Drosophila melanogaster: one gene and its partner. The protein of the gene in region 1 purifies or fractionates together with the protein of each later gene. This does not show direct contact. Each region holds a gene or a part of one and is shown on either strand. Other genes may lie near its edges. The genes, in order: jub and sav.

Region 1 (12,899 bases):
AGCATTAAGCATTCGAAAAATTTAAAAGAAAATATTTTGTATGTATGTGTTATAAGAAAACTAAACAAAATTCAAAATGTCACACGTATATGTTAATTACTCACGGTTTAGGCAAACAATTAAAATTTTGCATTTTCGCTACTTAATAACCGAATGTATGGTATGTATCACAACAAGCCACTAACCCACTGGAATATCCACAAAAGACTTTCAGATAAGAAGTATTAAGTATTTTATTGCATAATTTGAGACACCGTTTGCTATTGCATTGAAACCTCAAGAGGTCTCAGGAACACCCCAGGACATACATATGAAGAACACATCAATATACTTGTATCAAAATAGTATTGCCAACAATGGCTGCCAACTGTCGGAGATTTTAGGAATCCATTACATAGTTTCTAACAGATCCGTTTCGAGATCCTAGTACACTGCCATAAAAATGAAGAAAAAAAAAAGCCATTAGCTTGGCCCTCGTTTCGTATAAATGCATTTGTTTTCACTTCTGTCTATTTAAGATAATATTGTTAATTGGAATAAGTTGATTGCGATAGTTTGTTCTGGTTTTGTGCGCCACTCAGTCGAAGGTCGGAAGGTCGGTCTGCGCCGCGCCGCCTCTCCCAGCCACACTCCGTTCCGCTTATCCCATATACTGGTACGAAGCGCAGACGGGCTCCTGATGACGAGCGTGTGGCGAGGATTGCAGCGCCAGACGTTGCAGGTGGCAACCGCGGCAGAGCAGGCGCCCGTCCAGCGGGTAACAGCGTTTGTCCGGCTCATCGGTCAGCTGCATGCCGCACTCCTCGCAGATGTAGCAGTCCACGTGGAAGTCCTTGTCCATCGAGACGACGCGCACAGTTTCGTCGGTGCCCTCGACGGGTGTGATGCCTGCCGAGAATTGCCGACGATTGCGAGATTAGCATTGACGTATTATTCGGAATGAAGTTGTGAACCCACCTTTGCCGCAGCTAGCGCACTTGGGCGCAAACATTCGATGGTAGTCGTTGACGCAGTAGATCTTGTGGTCCACGTCCACGGTGAAGGGCACCCCGTCTAAGCACTCATTGCACACACAGCACCGGAAGCAGCCCGGATGATACGACTTGCCCATGGCCTGCAAGATCTGCAAGAGGGAAAGAGCGAGAGCGACGTCAATGTGAGTACAAGTTGCCCAATTAGAGTGGGATAGAAACGAATGGGGTGCAGTACGAACCATTTCCATGATCAGATGGCCACAGATGGCGCACTTTTCCGCCGTCTGCTGGAAGCCCGAGTACTGCAAGAGTGAATTCTTATTATTATTAATTAATGGCGTTGAAATCATAACAAAGCAAATGAAAAGGTAATTGCGTCAGTAACCAAAAATAACGATTTATAATCATAAATATAATAAAATTCAAACAACACAATACAGTTGGGAAAGTGTTTTCTCAAAATGAAAAGGAGTTTTTACGGGGAATATCAATATTTTTCAGTCCTGACTAAACTACAACTACAACTATCTTCTCACCATGTAATCCTCCTCGCAATAGACCCGACCATGCACATTGTAGAACGCCTTGCCTCGCAGCGCCCGTCCGCAGGAGCAGCAGATGAAGCAGTTGGTGTGATACAGATTGCCCATCGCCTGGCAAGCCTGCCCGGCACCCTTCACCTTCTCGCCGCATGTGTGACAAATGCCTAGTGATTGTAACCGATATTATTGTGAGTCAGAGATATTATGGTTAAGTGCTAACAATAAATACACACCAAAGTATTCGCCGTGCTCCTCGCTCTGTTCGATCTCCTCCTCCAGCTGGCGTGTGAGCTCTTCGATCTTGCGCTGCGCCTCCGTCGGGCCAGCCGGACGCGGCGGGGTGACGCTATACGGTAGCAGATTCTTGGTGAGACCTGATGGCGGTACAGAGTAGATATTAGGTCATGCTATTGACTTGGCTTGCAAGGCCAAGTGAAGATTAGTCAGCTTAGTTAGGAAAAAACAAAAATAAATATGCGGGCGCATTGTTGGGACAAACGAAAATAATTGAAATAAATAAATCAGGAAAAAAGCTGAAAAATTCGCGGTGTAAGCCAAATTCTTGAATGAAAAATGAAATCAAATTATAATAATATTTTTCTAATTATAATTCCCATCGACAAAACATAAAAAATTTGTTTGTTTAAACGATAAAATCGCAATTTCAATCATGGTGAAATGAAAATGAACGATATTGCATTCGAATCGGTTTCGGTTGTCATTGAATCGGTTCAGGTAAAGGACTTAAAATTAAACCGGTTAGCGGCAACCGTTTGACCAAAGTTTGTCGCCCCGCCAACCGGTTTATGATTGAGCGATGAGTGATGACACGAACGGAACCCAACCCCTTTGGAGAAACCAAGCTCAGCCCGTCATACCTCTCCTGGGTTTCAAGGCAGCATTAACGGCTGCGTGCAAGCATTTTTGATGGGGGAAGCATTTGGATTCATTAGTTTGATTAATACAATCTCGAATTGATGGTTGTTTAGTGATGGAATGTATCCATGTAGGCAAAAGTATGCATACATAGATACTGAAATATTATAATATGTTGCATGCTAGGCGAAATACATGTTTATGTATAATAAAAAGTACGTTGAAGGTGCTTTTTATTATTATTCCATATTTAAATGATAGCTTTAGTTTAGTAAAGTAACCATGCATCTTTAAATGGATCGATAGAATTTTTGTTCACTTTACTATATATAGCATGTACTCCACCTAAGCGATGCAGTATCTATTCCATCACTTAAAGTAATTCGCCATTTTGGGGACAGACGATCGTCAGTCGCTTACCTGTGCTGCCCTGCGAGGGAGTGGGTGATGTGGCCACCGCCAGAGGAGCCGTCATCGCAATGGGCGTCGCCCGCAAGGAAGCGGTGGATGTTGGTGCTGCTGGTGCCGCTGCTGCTGATGTCGGTGCATTGGATGTGGTTGGTGGAGCTGCCGTGGCCATGCCCATGGCCAGTGATGACGTTATTATTGGTGGTTCCTGGACAGTTCGCTGGGCAGGGGCTCCCGTTGCAGCCGCCCTGCCGGTAGCCAATCCTGCTGCCGTATTCCTGTGCAGATTCGCCGTCATGCAAACGTAGTCAGAGCTATTGATGTCCTCTATATAGTTAGGATTAACGGAGACATTAATGGCGCCGCCGGGCGACTTAACGGGCGTGTGCTGCTGCAGTTTGGCCACCGACTGCGCGGTGGGTACGGGACTTAGGTGGCTAGGTAACGATAGATTCCTATATCGTTGCGTTGGCGATCCCAAGGAGCTAGAACTGGCCGTGTTGCTGCTAATGCTTCGCTGGTGCATGGGCGAGGCCAGCAGCGCATTGAGATCCAGACCGGCGGTGGACGAACTGCCTGAGGAGTTGGACGTGGGCTGCATCTCCTGATACATGGTGGCGGTGGCCGGCGAGGCCTGTGGCTGTGCCCGCTGGCCAGAGTGTGGAATGATGTTCTCGTATATGGGCGCAGCATGCTCCTCCAGATCGCCAGTTGGACCCAAAGCAGCAGAACGTCCCGATGGTGGTGGTGGTCCTCCTGCTGCTCTGGTCGTTCCCAACGATGCAGATCCTTGATTCTCTGGCACCGGCGTGTGTGCAAAGCGCCCAGCCCGAATGGGCTGCATCAGCAGATAGCCGTTCAATATGGCGCTCTGCCTGCTCCCGGGACTTTGAGGCTGAGCCCTCTTGTGGTTTGAATCGAATTGACCGTAGAACTCCAAGTTCTCATATACCGGCGAATGCTTCTGCGGTGCAATCCGCTGGCCCAGAATCTGTGCGGTCGGTGCATAGATTTGTGCACTTCCGTTGTGCGTGTGCTGTATCTGCTCCACCGGACGGGGCGTGGCGTATTTGGAGGCGGCAATGATGTTGCCGCGCTCGTACAGCTTATAGTCCTGATTGTGATGGAGTTGCTGCATTTGCTGCATCTGATGTTGCTGCTGTTGCTGCTGACTTTCCTGCAGGTAGTTCTCAATGGCGCCCGGTGAGCGCTGGTAGCTTCGCATGGCCACGCCCCCGTCTCCAGGGCCACCACTGCCGCCCCCTCCTCCAACACCAGCACCACCTCCCCCACCGATGTGAAGACGCTGCATCAGTGTCTCATAGTCGGAATCGGAGTTGCCGGGATTCCTCGCCTGCGTCTGCGTCCGCTGGGTGGTCATTCTGTCTTTTGATATATGTATATTTATCCACCAGATCCTGCTCCTCCTCCTTATCGTCTTCTTCTTCCGTCTCTCCTACTCCCTCGCCACACTTGCTGTCTCGCTCTGCGGGGGGGACGCCGCCCCGAAATCAACGATTGGCTCGCTTTTCCCGGTCGGAAAAGACCTTAGCTAACTGTGCTCGGCTAGTTGGCAATCAGTCAGTCGGCTTTTCCTTTATTCTATCAGCTTTTCTGCATTTTCTTTGTGCGCCTGCATTGGAATATCAAAAAATTCGTACAGTTAAGTGTGACCGCCGCGGGTTACGTTTATAATATACTGTCCGGCAGGCAGGCGAATATACCACAAAATATACTGCAGCTCAAAAGGGCCACTCTAAAATATCAAATACATATTGCATTGCATTACATTGTTTTTTTTTTTTTAATCTAGCAACGTTATTATTTAAAATTGTAAATTTAATTACAATTCCACTTAGTTATTTTTTTAGCTTGCAATAATTTTAATCCATTTAAAGTCGGGATTTTGAAATATTTGAGGTCTAAATTTCAAACATTGAAATTTTAATATTACTCTTCTTGAGTTTTTAACTTATATCCACTATTTTTACTTTTGAACCCAAAAGGTTAGCCAAAACTACAATTTTAGATCCCATAGCTCGAAATATATTATTATTTATATTTATATATTATTTACCTTATGATTATTTTTAAATAAAAGTTGAATGAATGGAAGTTTCGTGTACAAGTTTTGTATATTTAAAGGTTTTGGTCTGCCGCGTTTACATTTTGGTTAGTACAGAAACATTTAAATTATGTATATAACTAGCGTATATATCTGCGTAATTTGCATTAAGTTAGCATAGGAAGCCACAACAACGCGATGGAGCAGATGTACCGCATGGACCAGACTATGTGGCGTTCATGTCTGCAATGGAGCACGTCTGGTTCACCTTGAAGATGTTGGACAGCTCGTCCAGCAGTGTCTCATAGCGATAGGCCACACGGATCTCTGGCACATTGGTGCGCGTGATGTCGTTGCCCATGATACCGTCCTCGTAATAGATGGGTCCCAGCCACTGCTGTTTGATCTGTGGATGAAATCGGAATTGGAATCATTTGTCCGAACATAAAGCAGAAAGCATGCTTGGAACTCACGGCATGTGGGAATCCGCTCATCATCACACTGTTCCTGGCCAGCTCGCACATGTCGCATGAGCTGAGCTTCCACACCTGTGCCGCAATGCTGTACTCCTCCATGAGGGGTTCCTGAAAAGCGGACATGGGTTAATTTAATGCTGAATATTAAAGCATATATTGTCTAGCCCACCTTGGTGAAGTGGAATTGCAAGGGATCATCCGTGGAGAGGGAAATGATGAGGCCACGGGCCAAATACTCTGGCAGCGGATTGCGATGATAGTTGAGGAACAGGGAGTTGTTCGACAGCGGCGACATGGCGATGCCAATCTGGGTCAGATAATACAGATACTGCAGCACGGGCACTTTGCGCAACAGGAGGCCGTGGGAGATGTTCTCGGCCATGAGGAAGCCGCAAACCAGATGCTGCACGGGTCCAGCCTCGCCGCAATGGGGCCGCAGCACAAAGGTGTTCATATTGCGAGATCTGATGTATCAAAGGTAACAGTGGGTTAATCAATGATATATATACATATCAATATACTTCTACGCACTGTCTAAACTTGTTCAGCACCGTCATGTTGGCGTACATATAGTAGATATAGTAGGCATAGGGCGGATTCTCCTCGTAGGTCCACTCCTCCGGACGTGGCACATCGTTGTCGAAGAGCGGATTCTCCGGCTTGGACTCATCGTCCACCGAATCGAATCCGATCACGTACTGCAGAAAGCGATGCAACTCGGGATGCTTACTGGGTCGGGCTGTCGCCTCGAAGAGCGGCAGGAATATGTTGTTCAAGATCTCCTGGAATGACTTCATCATCTTGTTCGACTTGAAGATGTCGAAGAGACGGGGTATCTGGATCAGCCAGCGAATGTTCGAGCTGTACACATCATTGTCGATGGCCCACTTGGCCAGTTTGTACCACTCATCCGGCGACTTGCCATAGATGGAGAGACGCAGCTCGGCGTTCTGGTACTTGGACTCCTCCAGATCGAAGGCCACTTCCTGGCAAGAAAAACGGAAGAATTAGTTTATAATCGTATTCAGTTGTGAATTGATAACCACCTTTATGATCTGTGCAAAGTATTTGCCATTCAGATAGTTGTCCGTCTTCAGGAAGACTTCCCTGAGCCGCGACTCCCCGATGGGATTGTACTTGGAGTTAAACTTGTCGAAGCGATGGAACGTGTTGCGATCGGCATGGACGTCCAACATGTCGACGGTCAGGTCGTAGGTGGTCAGGTTCATCGACTGGAACACCTGGGCCAGTGTCATTTGCTGGCCATTGGTGACGGTGACCACCTCGTTGGCGTTGTTCTTCAGCGTCTTTTTAATGAAGCGCAGCAGATGCTTTTGGTTCATGCACGATGCGGCATGGATGTGGGTGTCCACCTTGCGGGTGTTGTAGAAATCGCGATGCGGCACCGCCTTCTGGGCAGCCAGCTCACGCAGCTCGTTGAGGAGCACGTGCATCTGATACTTGGACGACAGATAACAGAGACGTCGATAGCAGAAGGATTTCCTATTAAAGTCGAGCATTGGACATTATTTCTATATCTTAATCGATTTGATACATTGCTGAAAATATACTTACAATGGCCCATCGGCAATCATATTGCACATGACCTGCATGTCGTTTACGAATTGGCTCATATCTGGATATTCGTATTTGATCTCACTGCTTTCGTCCTGGAATATTATCATGAGTGTGTAAGGATTCGTGGTATTCTTATGTATTAGCTAGATACTTACATCATTCTCGTAAATGTGAAACACTCCGTTGAGGGGCTTAATCTTGAAATCTTCGTCATTGGGAAACTCGACGTTCCACGGATTCGTAATCTTCATTGGCGAATGTCTCAAATGGACATCTGCAGATTCTTAACAGTTTCGAAGCAAGTTGAGACGTGTGTGTTTGTGTTAAATTCAAATTCAAAAATAGAAATTGTTTTAGTTTTTAAGGCGATCGCAGCAGCAATGGTAATTGGTACAGTTAGTGGCAAAGACAACACTCTACACTCAGGTGTTTGTGCGAGTGTTATTGTCAGTAAGTATTTGGTGTGTACGACGTGCTTTAGAGTGGACCTCCGTACAGTATCAGTACACCTTTTTAAATATTCTAGCTTCGAATTTTCTTTTTAGTTTTTGAAGCAAAATTAAATTACGATTTGATATCTTAAATTAATCCCTATTAATTTAAAGGACAACAGGATACTAGAAAATACATCTGAGTTCCACTCGTGCGCTACAAAAGCTTTCAAAGTGGAGTAGTTGAGTCTTTCCTTTTGTACAAGGCTTTTCCCTTTCAAAGGACCAAAAAGTAAGTGAGGAACGGTGAGAGTTTAAGCTTTTATATCGTTTATGATTTTAGCTGGGGCGTGTTGTTGTTGTTCTTTTGTGGTGGCAAATATATAGAACACGCAAGTAACATATGCAGAAACACAGTGGAAGTGAAAAAATAAACGGTCAATGAATACATATGTACATGCGAGTGTTTGACAGAAAGTTCAATTCTGCAAAGTGTAGTTTTTATAGCGGGCGAAATAGCTAGAGATTAGTGTGGCCAGCATTGTGTTTAATGCAGCGGGAGAGGCAGACAACTGAAGGTTAGGACGGCCAATTTAGTAACCTTTGCACGATTGTACAAATCGGATGCAGCAATTAATCTTATAAACTATTATGCGAACTGGGGAACAGGTAACATAAATTATTATTATAGATTTAAGCTTGGTCATTAACACATTCAGAAAACATATGTATTTGTTTTTTAATTACAATCACACTGAATAACCAAAAGCTGGCCACACTCTATGCGTTGAAAGCAGCGTTTCTATCTCTATTTTGAGGTTAGGAGCGTGAAGTAACCATTAAGAACACAAAACAAGATAAAGCAGTGCTCAACGGAAATCAAATTTCAGGCAGAAAAACAGAAGGAGGAGTTGTTCTTGTTGATCGTGGTGGAATAGTTGGATAGGCGGAAAGCGGGAAGGCAGGAAAATCGGGTGTGCACACGAATTACCTTGTATGTTCGCTACACTCATTTTGCGAATGATGTCTATAAGAAATAATGAAAAATACGAGAAGAGAAATAAATAGTCGATAATAAATCAACAAATTGAAATAAAAAAAGGGGGCTAAAAAGGCTCAAACATATACACAGTATGTACACAGTTGCTCGTTAAAGGCTCTAAATAAAAAAACGGAGGACATGAAAACGAAACGGAGCGAGGCGGCTAAGGCGGAGGCGAGAAAGAGACGGACACACGAGCTAACCTCTGCAATTAAATGAGTTGGCAACGCCGGCAAGTACAGTTCACACAAAACACCCGCTAATACGAACTTGTATTATACATTATTCACTCGCAAGTGAATTAATTGCCATATATTAATAATATTCATAATTGGGTGCATCACAACACTTAGGGGCAATTGTACATTATTGCACATTATTTCATACATATTTACAAATTTGCGATGGGCTGGGTCGATTTTATAAAATACAGCGAATTAAATACACCAAAGTAGCGTTTAAGTTTAGACCACAAAACCAACCCAGTCCATGCATAAGTTGAAGATACCACTGTACAAGGGAAGACCAGAAGATAGCTTTGCACTCTTCCTTATGGGAATACGGGATTGGATTGATGGAATACAAGAACTCACCCGACACCTCCTTGACGGGCAGATTGTTGATGCGATCCTTGAGCTTCACTGTCTTGAGGAATCGAGCCGTGGTCGAGGGAAACGATTGATCCGACATGGCCATGTAGTGGCTACGCAGGCGCAGTGCCTCGATCAGCAGGGTCGAGGCCCGCTCCAAATCCTCGAGCGGTACGCCACTGGTGTCCTCACCCGAAATTGAGACCCGTTGAAAGTTAATGTCCGCATCGTTTCTCTCCATAGTAACGGCGGACTCGCGGCCCTCGGTGCTGCTGGATGATTCCCTGTTTGTGGCCAATACGGCGGCTGTGGCCACTGGTCTAGGTCCTGTAGCCTGCCTGAAATAATTGAGACAAGTACCAAAATGATGAAGGTTAAATAAACACAATCAAATGCATTTAACTAATCACTGACCCTCCTAGTGTAAATAGGAGATAAAATAGCCTTGAGACATAAAGCTCGCTTTAGATTTCTTTAGATCTTACAACAATCTGTTACGGATTTAGTCACTGACAACTTTGGTACTACGTATATGCAATATATAAGGGATCTCCTGCTAGGCTGACCATTTGCAATCATCGGGCTGATACTCGTAGCAGCGACCAAAGCTATAGCTATCATCCGCGAAGGACATCCTGCCTGGACTGGTGACCACCGCCAAATGGAGCACTTCGCCACGGGTCTCTCTTCACTTTGATGGCGATGGAGATAGGGTAATGATCGATTGGTGAGTTGATTTATGGCAACGCAAAGCTACCGATTGTCGCTAATTTGCAATCCAGCACGCTATTTAAGATACCTCTTGCAACACCCAAAAAAAAAAACCCAATTCAAAGTTGCCACAAATTGCGTGCCTTAACACAGTATCTAAGCTAAATTGCTATGCTTCGATTGTCCTTTGTCTGGTGAATAAGCTCTTGAACTTTATATCTAAGATAACTGCTACTTTAAAAATAATTACTGAACTCTTCAGAAAGTATATCTGCGTGTAATCTTTAAAGGGTACACACTCTAAGAACAACTCTCTAGAACTTAAAACTAAGACTTAGTTGCAATATCACTAGATTGGCAGATAATGCCACTCCAAAATTGTCAAGTCTTCTGCAACATTTGTATATATATGTATATAAAAACCCGTCACTTGGGGATTTCCCCTTTTGCTTTTGTTAACTGGCGTGCGAAACCTGTCGGAATTCTAAGTTTATGCCAAAAAAAAAAAAAAAAAACTTGAAGTGTCCGTGCGAGTTGGAAAGTTTTTGCCAACGCCGCTTCTTGGCTTCTTTGCCACTTTTTTTTTTATTTTATTATTTTTTTTTTGAGCGACGCCTGGCGTGCGACACGAACAACAATGGTTGGTGAATTTTAGTGGGACAGTGGGTGGCTATAGATGGGCTAGATGGCAGTTCGATGGCTGGTTTTGCCTATTAGGCGGGCTCAATGTCAGCGGAGGTCGCACAGGTAGTGTAGTACAGTGTAGTGCCAGGTGGGTAACTTTGGGCCGCGTTTCGCGACGTTGAGCTGCCCGTTTATTGGATCGGAGCGTACTGAAAGTGACGGCATCCGCGCCAGAACTCAACCGTCGCTTGCAGTGGTTCTCCTGGCGGCGGTGCTGATGGTGGTGGTGGTGGTTCATTACGCCATAAGCCCTAGCACCACCACCATAACCACCACTACCGGCTCGATTTTAGGCGGCTTGGGCGAAAGTCCATCACCTCCGTCATGGCTGTCTGTCTAATGCACTTCCATTCAAAATCAAAACGTGTTCTGCATCGGTCCACACTTTCCCCGGCCAAAAATGAAAATCCAAACAGCAACCGAGATCCGGACTCTGGCGGCAGACATAAACCCACTTTGGATTACGCCCGGGAATCTACATACATACATTCACCGCCCACCTGGCAGACTGATAATTGCAACGCCTACACATTTTGTGGCTGCCTCATTACGGGGCTATAGAAACTGCTCATGATTGAGAGCCAAGCAGACTGAAATGCGTGCAAATCCTAAGAATATGTTCAAATATAAAAAAAATATATTTCCATCTATTATGAGATGTAAGATCCTAAGATATGTTCGAATTACAAAATATTCAAAGAAAATATTATCATTTATTTTGAGATGTAAAAACATATTTTCATATGTTTCCCAGATAAGATTTGTTTTTATTTTTGTCCTCTTTAAAATTTCTTTGTTTGTTTAATAGAGATTTTAGCCTTGAAAAAAATCTAACCTTAATATAGAAAAGCTGATAAGGACTCAATCACGAGATCTGTGAACTCGCCGTGTTTTTTGTCTGCTTTGCATGTAAAGTAAACAAATCTAAAGCGAAGCAGAACCGATTTAGGTTTGGATCTGATTACTATAACCGAATAATGGGGATTTGAAGACATATAATTTAATCTATATATATATCTATGTAAATTATGAAGATATATTTACAAACAAAAAGTACATAGTAAACTTCAACTGTCGTTTGTTATTTTAAAAATGAAAGTTTGCTTTTCTATATATTGTGTGAAACTTACATTTTGAAAGTGTAGAGCTTCTCTAAAACGTATTATATTTTATTAAATGTAGCACGTAAGACAGGTTGTAAGTCCTATTAATAACTGATTAAACTGTAATATGTTACAGTTTCCAATAGCAAATCACTAAAGTTTTGCTGATAAGTGAAAAATAATCAGGTCTTTCTCAAAATCCAACAATTTAAAAGTATAATCTCTCAAAGCTAAATTACCATTTAATTTTAATCATTATGGGAGCATCTTTATGATATATGTATATTGGTTTCTAACACTCACTTTTCATTGAGATGGCGCTGGATTTGCAGCTTCTTCTCGATCTGTTCAATGGGAAATTGGGGCACTTCATAGGGCGCCGAGATCTCGTTGGTCACCTCCACATCAGCTTCGGCCTTCTCATCCACCGGTGAATCGGCGAGATCACCTAAGAAATTAGAAAACAATCATATTTATAGGGATTCAAATTAAACAGGTAAAGTTATTAAGTTATAGATCCCATTGTGGTGCAAAACACCTACTGAGATCGTCCGATGAAATGGTGGGCGTGGAGGAGGCGGTGCCTTTGTCATTTAGCTGATTTCCCATCGATCCCCCATAAAGTCGAACATCGACGCGCAACCGATGGGCGGTATCCATGCGATTGAAGTTCATGGCAAAAAAAAAAATGAAAAAGTGTACAGAAAATGCAGAGAAAACCCGGGAAATCGGAGGATCGTAGACAAGGTTGTGTTGTGAAGTAACTTGTTCGAGAGTTGTCGCCTGAATGAAATTGGAAAACGTCGAAGATCGGAGAATTCCAGGCCGAGATCTACCGACGTCGACAGCGACAGCGACTGAGACTGCGACTGCGACTGCAGCAGAGGCGCATCATCTTTGGAGGCACAAATAAATAATAAAAAAAATAAAATTAAACGAACTAAAACATTGACTTCCAAGAAAACAACCACACGGAATTGATTGGCGACTACAAATTGGGCGAACAACAAAGTTTTACAAAAAAGAAGGGCACTGAAAAATATTTACATATAAGCTTAGATTCACTGTGAAATTATTAATCCGAACTAACTGATATTCAAGATCATTTGAATAGATCACTTGGATGTTTGGTAATAATTCAAATATAGATTATAATAGCTAATATTATTTATTTTAATTGTTCTTTTATATTTTTTTTGCAGTGTAAAACAGCACGAAAGAGACGGAAATGGAGGAGAGAGGGATTAGCGGAGATAGCAAAAATACTGGCAAAATCAAAACACGCACTCAAAACACAACAAACTAGATGAGGAGACTGATTAAAACGATCCGAAGTTGGAATACACTTCAAGGTCACAAAAACAACAATAATCTCCTATCATCAAAGGAATAAACCCGCCGCAAAGAATCATATTTAAG
Region 2 (11,772 bases), on another chromosome or scaffold:
AACCCAGCCAAAGATGATGGAGGTGTAGATCAAAGCTCTCGATTTGGCCACAGTCACGCGTACGAACACATCCTTCACACTGGAAAATAAGTGAATTTTCCAATTAGGTACGGGAACAGTTGGGATTCCCGTGAAGTTACTCACATCTCTTTGTTCGCATCATCGCTATCTGCGACCACTTTGACGTTGCCGGCTTTGAGGCCAGTTATCACCACCGACTGATTTCGAGTACTGCCCGCTGGATACACAAACGTTGCGGGATCGAGGAGCAAATGATCCTCCGAATCTGTTCCCAGCGCAACTTCCACGTCGCTGTCTAGCAATCCGCTGTAATGGGCACAATAGATTTACGATGCCATATGTTTTGGATTTGGATTTCCCGGCAATGGCAACTCACTTGGCGAACACCAGAAAAGTCTCGTTGCTGTTCAGCAGAACGGTGATGTCATGGGAATCGACGGTGAGCTGACTGCTTTGGGCATTTCCCAGGGCAACTGTGGGCAGGAGAAATTCCCTCATTATTAGATCGCAATATCTGGATTGCGATATCTCACCTGTGGCCAGGAGGAGGAGCAGCAAAGTGGTCAGGCGGTGTGTGCTGAAATCCATTCTGCTTGCGTTCAACGTTCAACTTATTCATGCATGAGCATCCAGTCCTGCTGGCATCTTCTTCAATGAAGCCCTATATGGTATTGTATTGATTCAATTGTGAATTACTTCAATTGACCAATTGACCACGATCGGGTGAAATTGATATCTACTCGTAGGAGTATGGAATGCAATTCCTGACACCTTTTTTTTTTTTGCTTCTTAATTTAATGACCCGTGCAGACACTCAATCAATAAGGAATATAATATGATATAAAATGATATAAACATAAAACTATTTGTTCCAAAAAAAAAACTTGCAGTGCAAACTACGCACGCTCGCTTCATCTGGAATTCGTGTGTGTTTTTGTCGAGATAAAAGTCGGTAACCTTCATCAAATGTCGCTCAATGTTACAACTTTGCAATTGGAGCACACTTTCCCACGGCAAGCGTTGGAGCACCCATTTTATGTGCCTATATGGCCCAAATGGACGTAACAGGAAATACATGGGCTTTGTCGGTCGATCGTAAAACCAAAAGATTCCCGATTGTTCATACTATATTTTTTATATGGCGAGGGCCGTGACTTGGCGATTGCCAAGAAGTGTAAAACACCGCGTGAGAACGGGCTTATCTCAATCAATGGAGCTAGCTGATAGTGTCCGTCGAATTATTGCGGCAGTCTGCCACAAGTTGCAGATAATCAATAGATTGGGCAATGCACTGCGATTGCAATACTAATCGCAAGTCACGATCCAAATTTTGGTTCTACATAAATCAAAACTAATGAGAGTGGTAAACTACAAGGGTAATTTAAAGTTCGAACACCATATCTTTCACGATCGTTCACACGAATCTTCATGTTTCAACTGATATGCACCATAAGTTATTCACTAATTCTGTTTCAATTCTGGTGATAGATAAGACGATTGATTGGTAAAAAGGTCCATTGTTAGTTAACAGTAACACCCATTTATTCATTCATGATTCCACGCACGAGATACGCTTGTTGTGCGTCTGTTTGAGCCGGATTAGAACTTTCACTGGCATGTGGGCAAGCAGAGGCTTTTAGCCGCCAACTGCTAACGCAAAACATCTGTATAAGCCGCCGGATTATTGTGATTAAGATAATGCGGATTAGAACAGTTGTTTGCCTATGCTATATGCATGATCGCCACCCAACACATCAATTCACTCACGTTAAGAATGAAGTTAAATAATGTGTCCCAACTGACGATTGAGCGACTGCCGATGGCTACAAGTGGAATGGAATGCTATGATGATGGCTGCGATGGCGACTCTCCAGTGCGACTGAGTGCGCGATCCAATGGATCCGTTTAAATATTGGAGCGATGGAGTCGACGTCGACTGCGGCAGCGGCAGCGACGCACCAGCGGCAGCAGCAACAACAAGTGGGGCGAGAGCGGACCGCCGACGTATCTTGGCTTTTTATTATACATTATTTTTGCACTTGAGAACCCGGCGGCCGAAAAGGTGGGCACTTCAGTCGGGAACAGTTAAATATTTTGACAAGACGAGTAGTTCTCAAAACAAAAAAAAAAAAAACACTTTTTTTTCAAATTCAAATTTCAAAAAAAATATGCTAAAATGTATCTGTGGGATAAGCAATGAATGGAAATGTATCTACGGGATAAGCTATGAATTGAAATGTATCTGTAGGATAAGCTATGAATTGAAAAGTATCTGTGGGACAAACGAACTTGTATCTCACAGTACAAAGTAATCATACCAAACCCCTAAATATATATTATTAGTCAATAATATCCATCGAGTCATATTTTCTGTTTACTTATCAATTTAGCAAAAGATATGACAAATGTAATTACAATCTAAAACTCTCGTTTTATGTATCCTGTTTAATATGTTCAAAATATAATAAAACACAACTTTTGGCCTTTCCAATGCCGAATACTCCCCAGACTTCGAAAACTTCTTATCAGCAGTAGAAACTGTTTTTGAGGGACCTGCAGAAACAGTGACTATAAAGTTTTATAAGCATTCGATAAGAGGCGACTGAATGAATTATCAGGTTCGACTAAAAATAAGCATAGCCAAACGAAAACAAACATAAGATTCACTTTCTATTGGAGCGCTGTTTTTTTTTTTGCCAATACAGAATCGGCCACGATTCACTTGTGCCCAATGCATAATTTTTGCAAGCGAATCGAAAACTTGGCATGGAACTCGGAAATATGTGCCAAGCCAAGTCGAGTAAGACTTGGCCACCAACTGTTGCCCTTTATTTACACTTCGCGGCGCTGAATTTCCAAAACATCCGTCGATGAATCGGACTCCCAGGTTAAATACCTGTGGGGTTTCAGGTGGCACATCGATTACAATTGCGCTCGGCAGGTAAGATGATCAGTAAACCAGTTTAATTTTCTTTGCTCACATTACAAACAAACGCCAAGCTCAAATCACATTAAGGTTATATAGAACGTAGCACAATTCTACGTTTCATCAAGGCATTCGAACTGTCATGGATCTGCTTGGCTACCATCTCGTCTGGTTTCGTATAAGGCACTGATTTCGCGATGAGTCGATGGTTAAATAAGTTAAAGGTCGATTACAGGAGCACTATGATGTGCATATAGCTGCTGGCGAGTATGTGGTCTGAGTCAGTCGTCACCTGGTCACCGGGTCACTGGTTTTGGTTCTGGTTCTGGCCGGCGCGTCGATTCTTCTCGAGTATCAAAGCGCGACTGAAAGGTGTAACAAGAGAGTAGTGGCTTTTCGGAGAGCGGAGAATGCAGCGGCATGTGGCCGCTCACTTACCGGTAGCGCTCGTAGAAGCCCACGATGGTGCCCAGTTCCTGCTTGAAGAGCCGCACCAGCATGCTGTCGAAGCCCTCCAGCTCCGGCAGGCTAAACATGTTGAACTGCAGCAGGTGGTCCTTGGACGAGTCCGCCTCCGAGTAGACGGCCAACCACTTGGGGATCTCCTCGAGCAGATAGGGATTGGCCGGCACCAGTGCATTGTGAGTGTGCGTGGGTGGGGCATAGAGCGACGCCTCTGGTCGAATCGCTTTCGGTGGCTCCGCAGACGTCGTGTAGACATAGTAGGAGGTCAAGCATGGATGCTGACGTTGGCTCTGCCCGGTATACTGGTTCTCATAGTAGGTGCCATGCATCTTGGACACCACCCGCCGCCAGCCCACCGGCAGACCTTCGCGCTCCAACGGATGATTCCAGTGCGTGGTATGCGCATTGTGATCAATATAGTATTTCCGACCGTGTAGCGTGTACTGAGTGGCCCAGCCGGGCGGCAGAGGCAGCTCCTCGGGCTCCGTGAGCGATTGCTGTGATGGTACCTTCTGCAGCGACCCATTGGCACTGCCTCCCGCTCCGGCAACCGCACTGGGCGGAGTTCGCGGTGGGACGTACAGTGATTGCACTGAGGTAGAGGCGCCGCGAACACTGCCAGAACTGCCACCACGACCGCTGCCGCTCAGGGATCCTCCCCCGCTTCCAGATGGCACCGCCAGGTGACCCTGATGATGATGCTGCGGAACCACGGCCAGCGTGGCCGACGAGGCCGTCGTATTGCTGTAGATGGGCGACTCCGATCGCTGCGACTGCGTGGCGCGCATCGAGATGACGCGGGACGGATTCTCGTAGATCGGGTACGAATCGCTGGAGTAGCTGCCGCCCAGGTGAGCTGCCAGTTGTGTGTGCTGCAGCTGCTGCTGCTGCTGTTGTTGTTGTTGTTGTTGCTGCTGCATCGGAGAGCTGTGGAAACAGAAGAGAAAATGTGTTTAAAAATGTTGTATATATCATATATATTCCATTATATTCCTCGTACAGAAAATCATATATTGTGTTATTGTTTTAATTATTGTAAGGCGAGTAGAAACCGGTTTTGTACATCAACTTTTCTTATTGTAAATAAATAAAGCAATCTGTTATCAAATAAAAAATCTTTGAACAATAAATGTTTCGAAAATAAAACATTTCGTGCATTGTCATTGTTTAAAAGTTATAATAATATTAAGCACTTTTTGACAATATGTAGTTTTTACGGATTATTCCTTTAATCAAGAGCTGCTCATATTATCTCTACCCACTTTATCAATCGCGCGCTATCTATTCAAATATAGTACTTCAAGAGGCAGTTTACCTAGTTGGCTGATACCTGGGCTGTCGCTCCCTGATGGACATGGCAGCTCGATCGAACCGCAGCGTGGAGCCAAACGGCGTCGAGGCGTGCTGTTGATGAATCTGTGGATGCTGCTGCTGCTGCGGCGGGACGGCGTAGTGAGCGGGCGAGTGTGGCCGCTGGGGCAGTTGCAACATGTTGGCATAGGAGGCGCTTAGCAGGCCCTGATCTGCATCGTAGCTGTCACCACCCAGATGGGGATGATGCTGCCGCTGGGTGGTGGAGTAGCTGCGCTGGAATCCTCCGGCTCCCGGCGCCGGCGATGATGTGGTCTGCAGCAGTGGCGACGACTGCTGACGGCGCATCCGCTCGATCTGCTCGAAATTAACGTAGTTGCTGCTGTTCTGACTCAACTGATTGCTGCTGGCGCGGAACTGGTGGGGCGGCAGGGGAGGATGACTACGCACATGCGGATGGGAGGGGTGGGGCAGAGAGTGAGGATGCGAGTGGGAGTGCTGCTGCAGGGGCATCTGGCTCTGTGCTCGTCGAGCATGGTAGTAGTCCGGCTGCGAGTCCGTGCAGGAGTAGGTGTTCCGACTGGTGCTCGAGCTGCGCGGATGGAACTCGCAGCTGGGCGAGGTGCTCGCACAGCGCTGCAGCGATTTCTTCTTGGCCCGCTGATCGCTCCACACATTGATCACCGAAATATCCGGTGGGGTGTCCTTCTTCATGTACTTCCCCACCACGCCCTCCTTGTGCTGGGACTTCTCCTTGTTCCGGCGCGAGAGCATCGTCGGTTTTCGGTTGCACAGCAGGATCGTTAGATAGTTCATGCAGACTATGTTTCCGCTCGGATTCCGGATCGCTGTCTTTGTTTAGTCCATTTTCGAGCTAAATTTATGCTGTACGATCGGTTTTTGTGTTTTCAGCTGGTGACCAGTGTGGCCAATGAACTGGCGAAACAATCGCCTATTGGCAACTTGGGGACATTCCTCATGTCTTTGCATGACTTTCTTTAATTGCTAAATATATAATTTTAAAAAATTTAAAATATTTTTTAATAATCTCTGAAAAATATAATCAAAAAATCATTATTTTTATTGCAAGCCGATTGCAATCGATAACGCCGGGCGTTGCAATCGATAGTATCTATCGACTTCTGACAACTCGACTGTTTATATGGTCTTCTAATAAATTAGTTAATATCTTTAAGGTACACTATTGCAAACCACTTGCTGGATTCTATCCAACAAACATACATTACCATATATGGTGTGATAAATTAATAGCGGAATAGAAACCAGCTAAGATGGAGGTCAAAGAAGTGGTAGTGATTGTAAAATGGAGTGGTAAGGAGTACCCGGTGGACCTCACCGACCAGGACACCGTGGAAGTGCTGCGTCACGAGATATTCCGCAAGACACAGGTGCGTCCGGAACGTCAAAAGCTGCTCAACCTGAAGTACAAAGGTGCGTGACACTCCTAGGCTTCGGGATATTTCAGTTTTAAGATCCAATGACTTGCAGGAAAGACAGCAGCCGACAATGTGAAGATCAGCGCTTTGGAGCTGAAGCCCAACTTTAAGCTTATGATGGTGGGCTCCACAGAGGCCGATATCGAGGATGCGTGCAGCCTGCCCGATAATATTGGCGAAGTGGTCGACGACTTCGATGACGCCGATGAACGCGAAGAGTCCGTGGAGCACTCCGCCGTCTATTTGGCCAAGGTGCAGCGTCGTGTGCGAGACTACAAGATCAAGGAGTTAGCGCCGCCGCGTGAGGGCAAGAAGCTGCTTGTCCTGGACATAGACTATACCCTATTCGATCACCGATCGCCTGCTGAAACAGGCACGGAGCTAATGCGTCCGTATCTGCACGAGTTTCTGACTTCCGCCTACGAGGACTACGACATTGTCATCTGGTCCGCCACCAGCATGCGCTGGATCGAGGAAAAGATGCGCCTGCTGGGCGTGGCCAGTAACGATAACTACAAGGTGATGTTCTATCTGGACTCCACCGCCATGATATCAGTTCATGTGCCGGAGCGCGGTGTGGTGGACGTAAAGCCGCTTGGTGTAATCTGGGCCCTGTACAAGCAATACAACTCGAGCAACACTATCATGTTTGATGACATCCGTCGCAACTTCCTTATGAACCCAAAGTCCGGCCTAAAGATCCGCCCATTCCGTCAGGCTCATCTCAACCGTGGCACGGACACCGAGCTGCTCAAGTTGTCCGACTATTTGCGCAAAATCGCTCACCACTGCCCGGATTTCAATTCGCTAAACCATCGCAAGTGGGAGCACTACCATCCCAAGAAGAACTCCTGAACTTATCCTCGGTTGCAAACATTTGTTAGATTTATGTTAGATTTATGTTTATTAAATTAAGATGCATTTTATACGCATTGCGTTCCAGCCGTCAATTAGAGTGTGTATCCGCCTTGATCCGCCCAGTGGACTCTCCTCGCCTCCAGGTACTCCTCGTGCAGCCTGCGTCGCTCATCCTCGAGCTTGGCCAGCCGGCGGTAGCGCTGCAGCACCATTCCACAGCCGAAGAGCAGGGCAACTTGACAGATCAGCCAGAAGATGAACAGTGCAATCAGCAGGCTCTGGTTGATGCAAACGTTATCCAGGTGCAGCGGGTCGTCTATGCCAGCAATGAGCAGCACTCCCCGCTCGCCGTACAGATAACTATTGGTGTTGCTCTGGTCCGGACCGTGCACCCGGATATTGTAGTTGAGGGGCAATTCCTCCTGCGATCTGGTAAAGTTGTCTGGTTGCGGAGCCACATCCACCACCGTGGAGATGTACACGGGGTTCTGAACTCGTAGGTCTTCCGGTCTACGATCTGGTTGGTCAGCCTGTCGCCTTCTCCGTTGCCAGGATGAACTAATACAATTGCTGGGCGAGCAGCGCTCCACGCAGAAGCGAATCTTTACATCGAAGCTTACGTTGGCCGTTCCTGAGAACTTGAAGGCATGGAAGCGAGCGCGCAACATGCTCCTGCTGGCTGTGTGTACCCTTTCCAAAGCGGGAAACACACTGGCATCTGTGGGACATCCTCGCTCGTCGATCAGCAGCACAAAGTTCTCATTGTCCGCTGTCTTGGCCACCAGCGAGGTAGCACGAAAGTCGGGTAGTGGTGCCAGCTGCAACTCCATGTGCTCTGCCAACTGCTGTGGGCTGTACTCCGCCACAATCTGTAGTTCCAGGTTCTGTCCAATCTGCACGTCGTTGGTCTCGTGCTGGTGGGATAGATCCAAAATCTGAAGCGAGATGCTGGGATGCGGATGGGGCCCAGTGCTGCTGTTGTAGTGAACCACACCCTCGTGTGGGAACATGCTGCAGGTATCGATTGTGATAGAATTAAGCATTTTGAGGGATTCTATTAAGAATACACTCACTGTTCTGTGTACTCCAATGAGGACTCCAGTGCAATGGCGCTGGGCACAGGCTCTGAGCTATCCACACTGCTGTCCCGAACCGAAACGCCCAGCGATGTGGTGGCATTGCTCTGTATACAGCCAACCTTGATGAGCCGGTCGCCCTGGGTTTGCACATTTGGATTGTTTTGGATGACCACCAGAGCAGATATGAACGTTCTAAATAATGCAAATGATATAATTAAAAAAATGGACTGGACATTGGACTTCATCTTACCTTTGGTATTCCTGTGTCATTTCGTAGGCACGCAGGATGCCACAGCGGTTCTCCTTTACCTCGCTGCCGATCTGGAGCGTCAGCAGAACACTCCCATTGCCCGATCCTCTGGCCAGGCAGTCCTTGGAGTGCATGCTGGCATAGATCTTGCCGACGAACCAGTCCTTGGGATTGTACTTAATGGTCATCTCATCGCGGGTGCAAAAAACCCGGACTGCGGAATAAGGAATCGATTAAGATTGAGCATACCACATCCCCAGAAGATCTTACCATCCAGGCACTTGACCCTCCGCATGTACACCGAGTTTTCACGGAGCTTCAGGCTTCGCGGACCCAGGGATACAATGTCCTCCGAGTGGAGGAGACACTCGGACAGCGAGAGTTGGTTTACATAGTAGAAGGAGACACCCTGGCAGTAGAACTTCGCCTCGTGGGAGCACATCGCCTGACACTGCAATACGGAGGTAGAAGCCATCAATCAATCATCCGACCCCCCATCCATTTCGATTACAATCATAATGCGCGACATCCGAAGCGCGGCGGACACACCTCTTTTTGGGAGAGGCCCAAATACCTGGCCTCCGCATAGATGAAACTGCTGTTGGCGTACAGCTCGTAGGAACAGTTGTCACTTTCGATGGCCCGTTCGTGGCACTGGTTCTCCATGTACTCCTCGTCGTATGGAGCCGCGCGAAAGGCGTCCGGCTGGACGGTCTTGTCCCTGTCGCTCAGCATACATCTGCCGAGGCGGGGAGACGGACGCTGGCCAGGACCCGCCTCGCCGCGGAAGCTACGAAAGAGGAGGGTTAAAGGTTGCTTTATTAACTTCTAAACGATGATGTGTCGATTATGACCAAGTCAGTTCGGTTATTTCAGAAGAATTCGATATATACTTGAGTTTAAGAAAATCTAGATGATTGCTGATGATCTCACTTTTCAAAAATACTTATCTTATTTTGTAAAAATTTGTTTGGAAAAGAACATAGCTTCGAAAAGATGATGTCTTCTGGATATATCTTTCTTTCGTATTATAATATCATATTATCATATTATTAGCTTGCTACACATTGTTGAATAGTCCTAACCTATCCCATCACCATCCTCGGAGTGATGTCATAATCCGGCGAAAAGTCTCGACCATGCATTAAAAATGCACAACAAAAGCTATTCATTTGTCCGGCGACCAGCAACTACAACAACCACCCACTGACAACCGACAACAACAAACAACCAAATAGCAAACAACAAACAACAAATAGTCAATTACCGCTCACGATTGTTCCGATAGGAGGGCGCAAAGGAGGCGGAGAGGCATCGGAACTGGGTTTCGAAGAAGCAGCGCTCGGCGCACTCACGCCGCGTGACCAGCGTCGAAATGGTCTTCTTGCTGTGGTAGACCAGCGTGCTGCCGGGGATTTTGGTCAGTGCCCAGAGACGCCCACGGCACGCATCGGGAACTGCAAGGTCGGAATGGATTAGAGGCGGATCACGGCCACTTCCGGAGGTTTGGCTGGAGAATTACTCACCTCGGAGGCAGGTCTTTTCGTAGAAGACGGCCTCGCCGTCTGCCACCAGAGGCAGTTCACCCGAAATGGCCAGATAGCGCGAGGTTCGCTCGAAGTACGAGTAGCCATGGCACTCGTCCGTGTCCAGCAGATGGACATAGGCAATGCAATCGGGATCCTCGTTGCAGATGCGCCAGCACACCTGGCTGACCGGAAGTTCCTGTTGGCCGTTGCGAGTCTTGAAGTTGCTCACCATTTCCGGTCCGTAGATCCGATTATCCGCATTCAGATACTCCAGCGGTGGCCGGAATCCGACGATCTTCTGCAGCTGCAACTGGTGCAACGGACACTTGAGCAGCAGCGCAACTGGGGGGCAGAACGGAATGCCATGAATGTGGGTTTCAATCCAACGGGATGCGCATGACTGGGAACCAACGCATTTTTCAAATTGCCGAGCAGTCATATGGATTTCAATTCTGGTAGCTAAGCTCGTGCTCATCAATTAATATGATATTTTTATGCATAGCTGAGCAATGAGAAAATCAATCAAGCATCATCGGGATTTACCCTTAAGTAGGGAGGGGGTTTAGGAATGTCTGAGATTGGCGTTATTAACTAATTGAAAGGTTGAATTGGAAATTAAAAAACGTAACTTAACAAACTTATCATGAATTGCAATTGAGATATGCAGAGATCTTTCAAGGTATCTGGTAGATACTTTTTTGATATTCTGGCATATCTATAAGATAGTACTTAATCTCTCCACTTCCGCTTTTCCAGAAGTTAGTTGCTTAGTTAAGAGCACTTTCCTGTGTAGGTCATTCTCCCACTTAGGCCCCCCAATGAAACTCGTTCTCAGGGTGTTTGCCAATAAATAAATCTATAATAGCAGCTGACATGCACATGCAGCGAGTAAACCCCTTTGCCGACTTGTAAATTGATCTATGCAGTTTTGGTTTTGCTTCTCCATTTATTCGCTTGGCTTTTGAATGCAAATGGCGAGTGCATCTTCAAAACGCTCTCGGAATTGGCATCATCATGAGCTAAGCGCGGAGCAATGTTTGCAAAGGGGTTTTCCGATTTTTCATATTTCATATATATACATATATATATATTAGCCAACTGAGAACTCACCACTAGCGTTTAGCTGGAGAATTAGCAAAATCGCTGCAATGGCTAATTTGCATAGCCGGGGGGCGGTCACAAGTGATTGGAGTGGTGGCATTGTTTTTCAGATGCGTTTTTGTGGCTGCAACCGCGAATTGTTTGGCATGCTCGTGCAATAAATTTTAATTGATTCTCGGTCAGAACACGGGCTAAACTCGTAGACGCATTACACGAACCGAGTAACAAGGGCCATTTATTCAGTGGCTTTTTGCCCGTTAGCTGGTTATGTATTTGGCACAGTCCAACACTTTCGGTCACTCAATCGCCTGCAGATCGAACTATTTGCATATATGCAAATGCAAATGAGCCAGCAGTATCCTGTTATCCTGTTATCCTGGCCCACTCGACAACAAATATGAATTAGAGCGATTTCCCGATGTGGGTCAGTTGGCCGCCAGCATCATCGTTGTGCTAATTACTTCAAACTCGCCTGCTTATGCATTATTTATTTGTTTTTAAATTCGAGTATAACGTGTGGCTTTGACTTTTGCCACCACTTCCATTAGCCAAATGCACTTGGCTAAAGTTCTGTTCACTTTTATCACACTTGATTCCGCTGCGGCGATTGTACGTCCGACTCGCGCGACTCTCGACTTGCAAATAGCAGACGATGATCTGGGCTCCCAGGCGGAGAGATCATCGAGTGGAGATCCATCCCCAAGCCCAGAGATCCCAGAGACCCCAGAGCGCCAGGTACTCAGCGACTCACTCCGCAGTGCTGCGTATGTAAATG

What was found.
Region 2: the proteins of jub (region 1) and sav purify together in Drosophila melanogaster (affinity purification with western blotting; 2 studies listed by BioGRID). This does not show direct contact.

Annotation. Positions count from the first base shown.
Region 1 is NC_004354.4:13,825,830-13,838,728, forward strand, and holds jub (ajuba LIM protein), read right to left. Parts: upstream 4,489-12,899; 5' UTR 4,182-4,488; coding exon 2,813-4,181; intron 2,425-2,812; coding exon 2,395-2,424; intron 1,891-2,394; coding exon 1,750-1,890; intron 1,681-1,749; coding exon 1,511-1,680; intron 1,292-1,510; coding exon of another isoform or gene 1,277-1,291; coding exon 1,214-1,276; intron 1,124-1,213; coding exon 958-1,123; intron 889-957; coding exon 641-888; 3' UTR 501-640; downstream 1-500. Other genes in the region: AMPdeam (AMP deaminase), read right to left, coding at 5,092-5,271, 5,339-5,449, 5,511-5,805, 5,873-6,327, 6,388-6,844, 6,917-7,011, 7,075-7,193, 8,986-9,320 and 1 more. UniProt on the Drosophila melanogaster protein: Regulates organ size by inhibiting apoptosis and promoting cell proliferation by influencing the expression of G1/S-specific cyclin-E (CycE) and apoptosis 1 inhibitor (th). Negatively regulates the Hippo signaling pathway.
Region 2 is NT_033777.3:23,055,645-23,067,416, forward strand, and holds sav (salvador), read right to left. Parts: upstream 5,661-11,772; 5' UTR 5,540-5,660; coding exon 4,728-5,539; intron 4,340-4,727; coding exon 3,386-4,339; intron 3,315-3,385; exon of another isoform or gene 3,313-3,314; coding exon 3,252-3,312; 3' UTR 2,965-3,251; downstream 1-2,964. Other genes in the region: Ctns (cystinosin), read right to left, coding at 1-79, 145-327, 398-494, 555-609; Ublcp1 (Ubiquitin-like domain-containing C-terminal domain phosphatase 1), read left to right, coding at 6,016-6,175, 6,233-7,035; CG17111 (uncharacterized protein), read right to left, coding at 7,131-8,049, 8,112-8,309, 8,368-8,581, 8,638-8,818, 8,917-9,157, 9,635-9,824, 9,894-10,238, 11,007-11,097. UniProt on the Drosophila melanogaster protein: Plays a key role in the Hippo/SWH (Sav/Wts/Hpo) signaling pathway, a signaling pathway that plays a pivotal role in organ size control and tumor suppression by restricting proliferation and promoting apoptosis.